Linked DNA regions of Macaca fascicularis. The protein of the gene in region 1 purifies or fractionates together with the protein of each later gene. This does not show direct contact. Links are inferred from orthologs where the notes say so. Each region holds a gene or a part of one and is shown in the gene's direction. Other genes may lie near its edges.

Region 1 (3,809 bases):
CCAGTGATGATGGCTGTCCTGTACCCTAATTCATCCCCCTCAACCCCACTTCTCTTCTCACAGCACAGCCCCCCAACGTGTCCCTGTCGCCTCCCCATCCGCCCACAACATCAGCAGCAGTGGTGGAGCCCCAGACCGAACTAATTTCCCCCGGGGTGTGTCCAGCCGAAGCACCTTCCATGCTGGGCAGCTCCGACAGGTGCGGGACCAGCAGAATTTGCCCTATGGTGTGACCCCAGCCTCTCCCTCTGGCCACAGCCAGGGCCGGCGGGGGGCCTCTGGGAGCATCTTCAGCAAGTTCACCTCCAAGTTTGTACGCAGGTAAGCAAGGAGCTTTGGGTGGCAGAGAGGCTTAGGCCAGGCCTTCCCACCTGACTGGGAGTGGGTTAGGGGTTGGGGGTTGGGATTTGGGACACTCTGTACTGGTATTGGGTCTTGGGGTTAGAAGAGGCTTGGGGAAGCACAAGAAATTGGGTCTTTGTCAACACCTTGTATGCCCAGGCCCACCCCTCTTAGGCCTCTCCCCAACTCCTTACAGGCACCCCTCATTCTCTGGCCCCAAGCAGATGGCCGATGCCGCCTCCTCTCTAGGAGAGTGTGAACTCAGATGCTAAAATAAAAGCCCCCCCTTCTCTCCTGGGTTCCCATGGAAACTTATATTTGGTGACGCAGCTGCAAAGTCATGAGGCATGAGCCAGGCTGGGGCCAGCAAGGAAAATTTTGTCCTGGTCTCTTGTCCCTTTGACTGCCTCTCCCCTTAGCTGGTTCTGTTTGTGGCTGCAGCCACAGCCGTGCCCTTCCGCCCGGGGGTTCTTACGGTGAAACCTATAAATGAAATCACTGGCGAGGGCCCACAGTGGCCTAACCAGAGGTTGTGCCAAAGCTTTCCTGTGTTGGACCCAGGGTGGGGATCTCTTCATGGGGTTTCTCACACCTGAGCCCCCAGCCACCACAGAGGGGCAGCTTGAAGTGCATCCAGCCAACTGGCTGGCCTCCTGGGATGCTCCGCGTCCCTGTCATGCCCATTCCTCTCCCTGCCTTGGAGTAGCAGCTCAGGAAGCAGCAGGGGCTTTGAGAGAGCAGGCTCGCCTGCCCTTCCTCTACGTTTCACTCCACTCTGCTGGAGGAGCCAAAGCCACTGCCCCATCTGAACCCCAAAATGCAGGTGTGAGGCCTGCAGAGAGGGTGGGCAGGTCTGAAAGCCTGGGACTCTAGTCTCGCTGAGCGGCTCTTCCGAAAATGGGATGACCCTTGAACCTGTGAAGCCACTCCCCACCTGCTTATCCACATACCGTCTTGTTGGTTTTTTTTTATTTCTTTTTTTATTTTGTCTTTTTTTTTGTTTGTTTTTTTAGAAATCTGTCTTTCAGGTTTGCCAGAAGGTAGGCGTTGAGCCCGCTGTGTGTGTGTGTGTGTGTGTGTGTGTCCGTGTCCTGTGTCCTGCCTCCATCACTAACTCCCCTTTTCTGGCTCTTACTCTCCTCCATCTGCTTAACCAAGTCTGTGTGGCCCTCCTCTCTCTGCCATCTTAAAGGGATGAAGACTGCCTCTGATTGGGCAACGGCACAGGGCCTGCCTTCAGTGCCCCCAGTACGAACAGGCAGGGCTAAGAGGCCACATTGGCCCACTCAGGGCAAATGGCTTTAAAAATGAGGGGCCTTCCTTGGGCCCACAGTTACGCCTGTCCTCAAGTAAGGGGAGACTGTCTCAGGGAAGCCTCCCTTTAAGATTGTCTCCTCTCACCCACCCCACCCCATCCCCACTCCCCCTCACTCCAGGTTTTGGTCACAGTGTTGGGATCCTTTCCTGGCCCTTTCCCCTGTCATGTGCATGCGCTGTGAGGAAGCTCCAGGGTTACAAGTGCATCTGGGATGGTATCTTGTCTGTGTCCTGGGCTTCCTGAACTTCAGAGCTGTGTGACCTCTTCCCCTTGGCCTATGGGATGGCAGGACTTTGGAGACACTACAGGGACCCTGGGGCCCCAAGGTTTCAGTCTAGATCCTCCAGACCTTAGGAGCTTTTGTCTCACAAATGGAGCACAGCACCCCCTCCTGGCAGCTCCTGCAGGACTAGCCCCACCCACCCGCACCCCTGCCCCAACACCCCTGCCACCAGCAGCATCTGGATAAATCAAGCCTCTTCTCCTCTGGGCTGTTTTCTCCAGATATGGCCTGTCCCTTCCAAAGTGCCGGGAGCTGGGACATTCCAGGGCAAGGGCCGTTCTACCCCAAGCCCTAGCAAAACAACAGATCTCTGCACCCTTACCCAGGGGTCTCCCTTCATGGGCCCCTTCCTGGCTGTTTCACCCCTGGCCTTAGGCTCATCCTCTCTGCAGGCCTCGGGGGCCAAATACCAAGCTGAAGACCAAGGGCCAGGTTAAGAGTGCTTGTTCCCCAGGGCTGTCTGCTCAGGCCCTGCACTGGAACTGGGATGCCTGGCAGGCACATTGGTGCCACAGCTGATGGAGGAACGTCCAGACAGGGTCTTCAGGCTTTCCCCATCCCCTCCTCCTCTCACCCAGCGCTTGACTGCCTGGCTGGCTGCTGCCTCAAGGGGCCCCAGCAGGGGGCTGCCCCACAGGGCATCTGGAGAGAGCGGGGCGGGTGCCTTCCTCGCACAGCCGGGCTCCCTGCTCGCAGTGCGCTTGTGTGCACCCCTGTGTTGGTTGTGTCTTCCTGTTTATTTCTATGTGCTGCTGCTCTTTCTCCTTCCTCTCACATCCTCCCTCTGCAATCCCCAATTTCCTAGTTCCAGACACCCATCTTCCAGCCAGGAGCTGGAGAAGCCGCTCAGCGGGGCCAGACCTCTTCCCCACCCACCCACCCAAGGTGTCTGCCCCGCCCCGCCCTCGTCCTCCCTGTGTATGAGCAGATGGCCTGGCAGGCCAGCAGGTAGGGGAGTTGGGAAAGGTCGGAGGAGGCGGCCTTTTCCACTCAGCAGCAGGCACCCATCCCCAGGTGCCTACCATGCAGACCCAGGCCTTGGCACTTTGAGCCTTCTGACAGAGACCCTTGCGTAGCCACAGCCCCTCCTCCTACAGAGACCCAAAGCATTGCAGCCCCTTTCCTCCAAAAGGACTGCAGTCCTGAGACCCTAGCGTGTGGCTCCAAAAACTTACTCACACCCGCAACCCCCAGAACAGCGCGTGAGCCCTGGCTGTGGGGGAGCAGCCTCGTGCCCGGCTGTGTGCTCGGTGTGCTCAGTGAAGTGCGTGCACAGCCACTCCCCCTCCTCCCCCAGAGCGGAGGCTCCTTCTCCCCGGCACAGATCTGGGAGTGTGGGGAGGGACAGGCCCCATGTGCTGGGCTCCCTGCTGGAAAGGAATGGTTGAGCCGCCAGTGTGAGGTGCTGCAGAGCCCTGTTGGCTTGCCAGGTGATGGGCAGAGGGCCCTGGGCTTGGGTCCTGCCCACCCACTGGTGGCACCTCCCCAGACCCACTCTCATCTGGGTCTGTGGCGGCGGAAGGAGCGAGAGATCCCAGCACTAAACTCTCCCTCGCTCTGTTTTTTGAGGAACCTGAATGAACCTGAAAGCAAAGACCGAGTGGAGACGCTCAGGTGAGAGGGCTGGAGCCAGCACTGGCCCTGCCCGGGCCACCGGGCTTGCCACAAGCCTCCTGCTCCTCTCTTCCTTCTGCCACTTGGCTCTTCCTCCCGTGGTTCTGCCCTGTCCCTACCCTCTGGGGCCTCCCTTTCCTCAGAGAGTTTCCCCTTCCCAAACCCAATTGCAGGAGTTAATGGGCCCTTCTCTTCAGGTCTGGTATATTCTGGAAGTCGGAGTTCTGGGTCGGGTGGTCGGGGCTACAGATT
Region 2 (3,809 bases), on another chromosome or scaffold:
TGTTCCCATCTTCCAAGAAAGACTTCTTGCTCTTGGGAAATGGCTGAGCATCAACGGAGAGGCCATCTATGCCTCCAAACCGTGGCGGGTGCAATGGGAAAAGAACACAACATCTGTATGGTGAGTCTCGTCTTCTGTTGTGTGTAAGAACAGGATGGTGCCCCATCTGGAACTGGTATCTCCTTGGGTCCACAATGTTACAAGCCAGGCTGGAAGTTGCCTTGAGAAAATCCAAAAGCTGTCATTTTCCCATAAAATTTGTGCCCCGGCCGGGCGCGGTGGCTCAAGCCTGTAATCCCAGCACTTTGGGAGGCCGAGACGGGTGGATCACGAGGTCAGGAGATCGAGACCATCCTGGCTAACACGGTGAAACCCCGTCTCTACTAAAAATACAAAAAAAAAAACTAGCCGGGCGAGGTGGCGGCCGCCTGTAGTCCCAGCTACTCGGGAGGCTGAGGCAGGAGAATGGCGTGAACCCGGGAGGCGGAGCTTGCAGTGAGCTGAGATCCGGCCACTGCACTTCAGCCTGGGCGACAGAGCGAGACTCCGTCTCAAAAAAAAAAAAAAAAAAAAAAAATTTGTGCCCCATTTGAGTTATGTCTTAGGCTACTGGGTTATCTTTGACCAGTGAGGGGAGAGAGTGGGTTTGGTGAAAAGGGAAGGAGCAACAAAGCATCTGTCAATTTATTGAGATTATTACCCTGCCCCCTAAAAATAGTAATAACGAATGCTTGGGTTGCACAGGGCCCCATTCTAAATTCTTTCCATTCATACTTGGACTTCGGGATCTAGTTATTTGATCTTGGGTCCCATTTTTTTCCACTGCAGAATGGAGTGACGATACTTTATAGTGTTGTTGTGAGGATTAAATGAGATGAGTGCCAGGCACAAACTAAGTGTTCGATTAAAGGGAACTGCTTGTATTATACCAGAGAGCTTAGGTCTCTGGATCTAATCCCTCCATTAATCCCTCTGTTTTGGCTGAGTTTCTGTTTAGTGGTTGTCTTAGTCTGTTTTCTGTTGCTATAACTGAATCCCACAGGCTGGATTTTTATTTTATTTTATTTTATTTTTAGACAGTCTCACTCTGTTGCCCAGATTGGAGTACAGTGGCACAATCTCAGCTCACTGCAACCTCTGCCTCCCGGGTTCAAGCACTTCTCCTGCCTCAGCCTCCGAAGCAGCTGGGATTATAGGCACCCACCACCATGCCCAACTAATTTTTGTATTTTTAGTAGAGACGGGGTTTCACCGCGTTGGCCAGGCTGGTCTCGAACTCCTGGCCTCACGTGATCCACCCGCCTCTGCCTCTCAAAGTGCTTGAATTACAGGCATGAGCCACTGCACCTGGCTTACACTGGATAATTTTTAAAGAATAGAGGTCTATTTAGCTCACAGTTCTGGAGGCTGGGAAGTTCAAGAGCATAGCACCAGCATCTGGTGAGGGCCTTCCTGCTACATTATGACATGGTTGGGGATAAGAGTGGGCATGTCCACTCAGGTCTCTCTTCCTCTTATAAAGCCATCAGTCCCATCGTGGGGCCCTACCCTGATCACCTTATCTGATCCTAATTACTTCCCAAAGGCCTCACCTCTAAATACTGTACTATCAACATATGAATTTGGAGATTAAGTTTCCAACACATGAGATTTGGGAGACACATTCAAACCATAGTAGTGATTTTCATCCTCTTCTCTAAAGATAGTGAAATTTCAGAACAGGCCAGGTGCGGTCTCAGAAAAAAAAAAAAAGAAAAAGAAAGAAATCTCTGAACAACAAATCTGTCTTCATTGCATATCTTGTCCTTGTTATAGTCTCTGCTATTTTCACATGGATTTGGAATAGAAAAGAGATTTGAATAATAAGGTAAATGGCCTCATTTATTTGAAGTAACTGGTGTAGGAGTTAATTTTTAAAGACAACTTGACCCAATTGGCAGGGAAAATGGAAGATATCACCAGATAGAGTTGTATAAACTGCCTCCTTCCTGCAGACCTTCATTGGTAGTGAGTTATTGGTGCTCCCTATTAGCAGTGACAGACTCAAGGACTGGGATTTGGTAGATAATTGAAAGGCGAATAAGTGGCCTTGTGCAGTGGTTCACACCTATAATCCCAGCACTTTCGAATGCCAAGGTGGGAGGATCACTTGAGCCTAGGAGTTTGAGACCAGCCTGGGCAACACAGCAAGACTCCATCACTAAAAAAGAGAAATTCGGCCAGGCACAGTGGCTCACGCTTGTAATCCCAACACTTTGGGAGGCCAAGGTGGGTGGATCACCTGAGGTCAGGAGTTCAAGACCAGCCTGGCCAACGTGGTGAAACCCCGTCTTTACTAAAAATACAAAAATTAGCTGGGCATGGTGGCAGGCACCTGTAATCCCAGTTACTCAGGAGGCTGAGGCAGGAGAATTGCTTGAACCTGAGAGGTGAAGGTTGCAATGAGCCAAGATTGTACCACCATGCTTCACCCTGGACAAGAGTGAGGCTCTGACTCAAAAAAAAATAAAAAAATAAGGAGCCAGGTGCAATGGCTCATACCTGTAATCCCAGCACTTTGGGAGGCCGATGCAGGTGGATCACTTGAGGCCAAGAGTTTAAGACCAGCCTGTTCAACATAGCAAAATGCCATCTCTACTAAAAATACAAAAGTTAGCCAGGCATGGTGGCGCACACCTGTAATCCAGTGACTCGGGAGGCTGAGGCACAAGAATTGCTTGAACCCAGGAGGCAGAGATTGCAGTGAGCCAAGATCATACCATTGCACTCCAGCCTGGGCAACAGAGTGAGACTTTGTCTCAAAAGAAAAAAAAATTAAAATTAACATTAAAAGGGAATGCATAAAGTTGTATATCAGGATAACAAGCCAGGTATCTTTGACAGTGTTGTTTCTGTTTTCCCAGGTATACCTCAAAGGGATCAGCTGTTTATGCCATTTTTCTGCATTGGCCAGAAAATGGAGTCTTAAACCTTGAATCTCCCATAACTACCTCAACTACGAAGGTAAGGAGGCTCAGTCAGTCCTAAGATGTAACTTTCTGTAAAGGAATTGGCAGATTCATCCTTTCTTCCTTCCCTGCCAGGTTTCTCCCATATTCATACCTCTTTTAGACTGGCTTTCCTGCCCTGGCCCAGCATGGCCGTTTCCCACCATAGTCAGCCTGTATTCTCTACTCATTAGTGCATTACCAGTTGGTTTCATTCCCTTTTGTTTTCTGCAGATAATGATGCTGGGAATTCAAGGAGATCTGAAGTGGTCCACAGATCCAGATAAAGGTCTCCTCATCTCTCTGCCCCAGTTGCCACCCTCTGCTGTTCCTGCAGAGTTTGCTTGGACTATAAAGCTGACGGGAGTGAAGTAATCATTTGAGTGCAAGAAGAAAGAGGCGCTGCCTGCTGTTTTGCTGCTTCAGTTTTCCTCTTATAATACCATCACTATAATCAACGAACTTGTCTTCTCCACCCAGAGATGGCTTTTCCAACACATTTTAATCAAAGGAACTGAGTACGTTACCCCGATGTCTTAATGGACCAAAGATCTGAGATCCATTGCGATTATATCTGTATCAGGTCAGCAGAAGAAGGGACTGAGCAGTTAAACTCTGAGTTCATCAATTCTAATATTTGAAATTATCTACAATGGAATCTTCCCTCTGTTCTCTGATAACCTACTTGCTTACTCAATACCTTTCAGCCAAGTCACCCTGTTGCCTATGGGAGGAGGTGGAAAGGATTTGGCAAGCTCAGCCACATGCTATTTAGTTAGCATCGGTTGTCACCAACACTATGCAAAGGGCAGGAGAGCCTTG

What was found.
Region 2: the proteins of MARK2 (region 1) and FUCA1 purify together in Homo sapiens (affinity purification with mass spectrometry; 3 studies listed by BioGRID and IntAct, counting the BioPlex papers as one, with this or other methods). This does not show direct contact. The link is inferred for Macaca fascicularis from reciprocal best matches to the Homo sapiens genes MARK2 and FUCA1.

Annotation. Positions count from the first base shown.
Region 1 is NC_088388.1:10,500,378-10,504,186, reverse strand, and holds part of MARK2 (serine/threonine-protein kinase MARK2), read left to right. Parts: intron 1-63; coding exon 64-321; intron 322-1,355; coding exon 1,356-1,382; intron 1,383-3,512; coding exon 3,513-3,557; intron 3,558-3,809. UniProt on the Homo sapiens protein: Serine/threonine-protein kinase. Involved in cell polarity and microtubule dynamics regulation. Phosphorylates CRTC2/TORC2, DCX, HDAC7, KIF13B, MAP2, MAP4 and RAB11FIP2. Phosphorylates the microtubule-associated protein MAPT/TAU.
Region 2 is NC_088375.1:211,261,241-211,265,049, forward strand, and holds part of FUCA1 (tissue alpha-L-fucosidase), read left to right. Parts: coding exon 1-120; intron 121-2,903; coding exon 2,904-3,003; intron 3,004-3,221; coding exon 3,222-3,362; 3' UTR 3,363-3,809. UniProt on the Homo sapiens protein: Alpha-L-fucosidase is responsible for hydrolyzing the alpha-1,6-linked fucose joined to the reducing-end N-acetylglucosamine of the carbohydrate moieties of glycoproteins.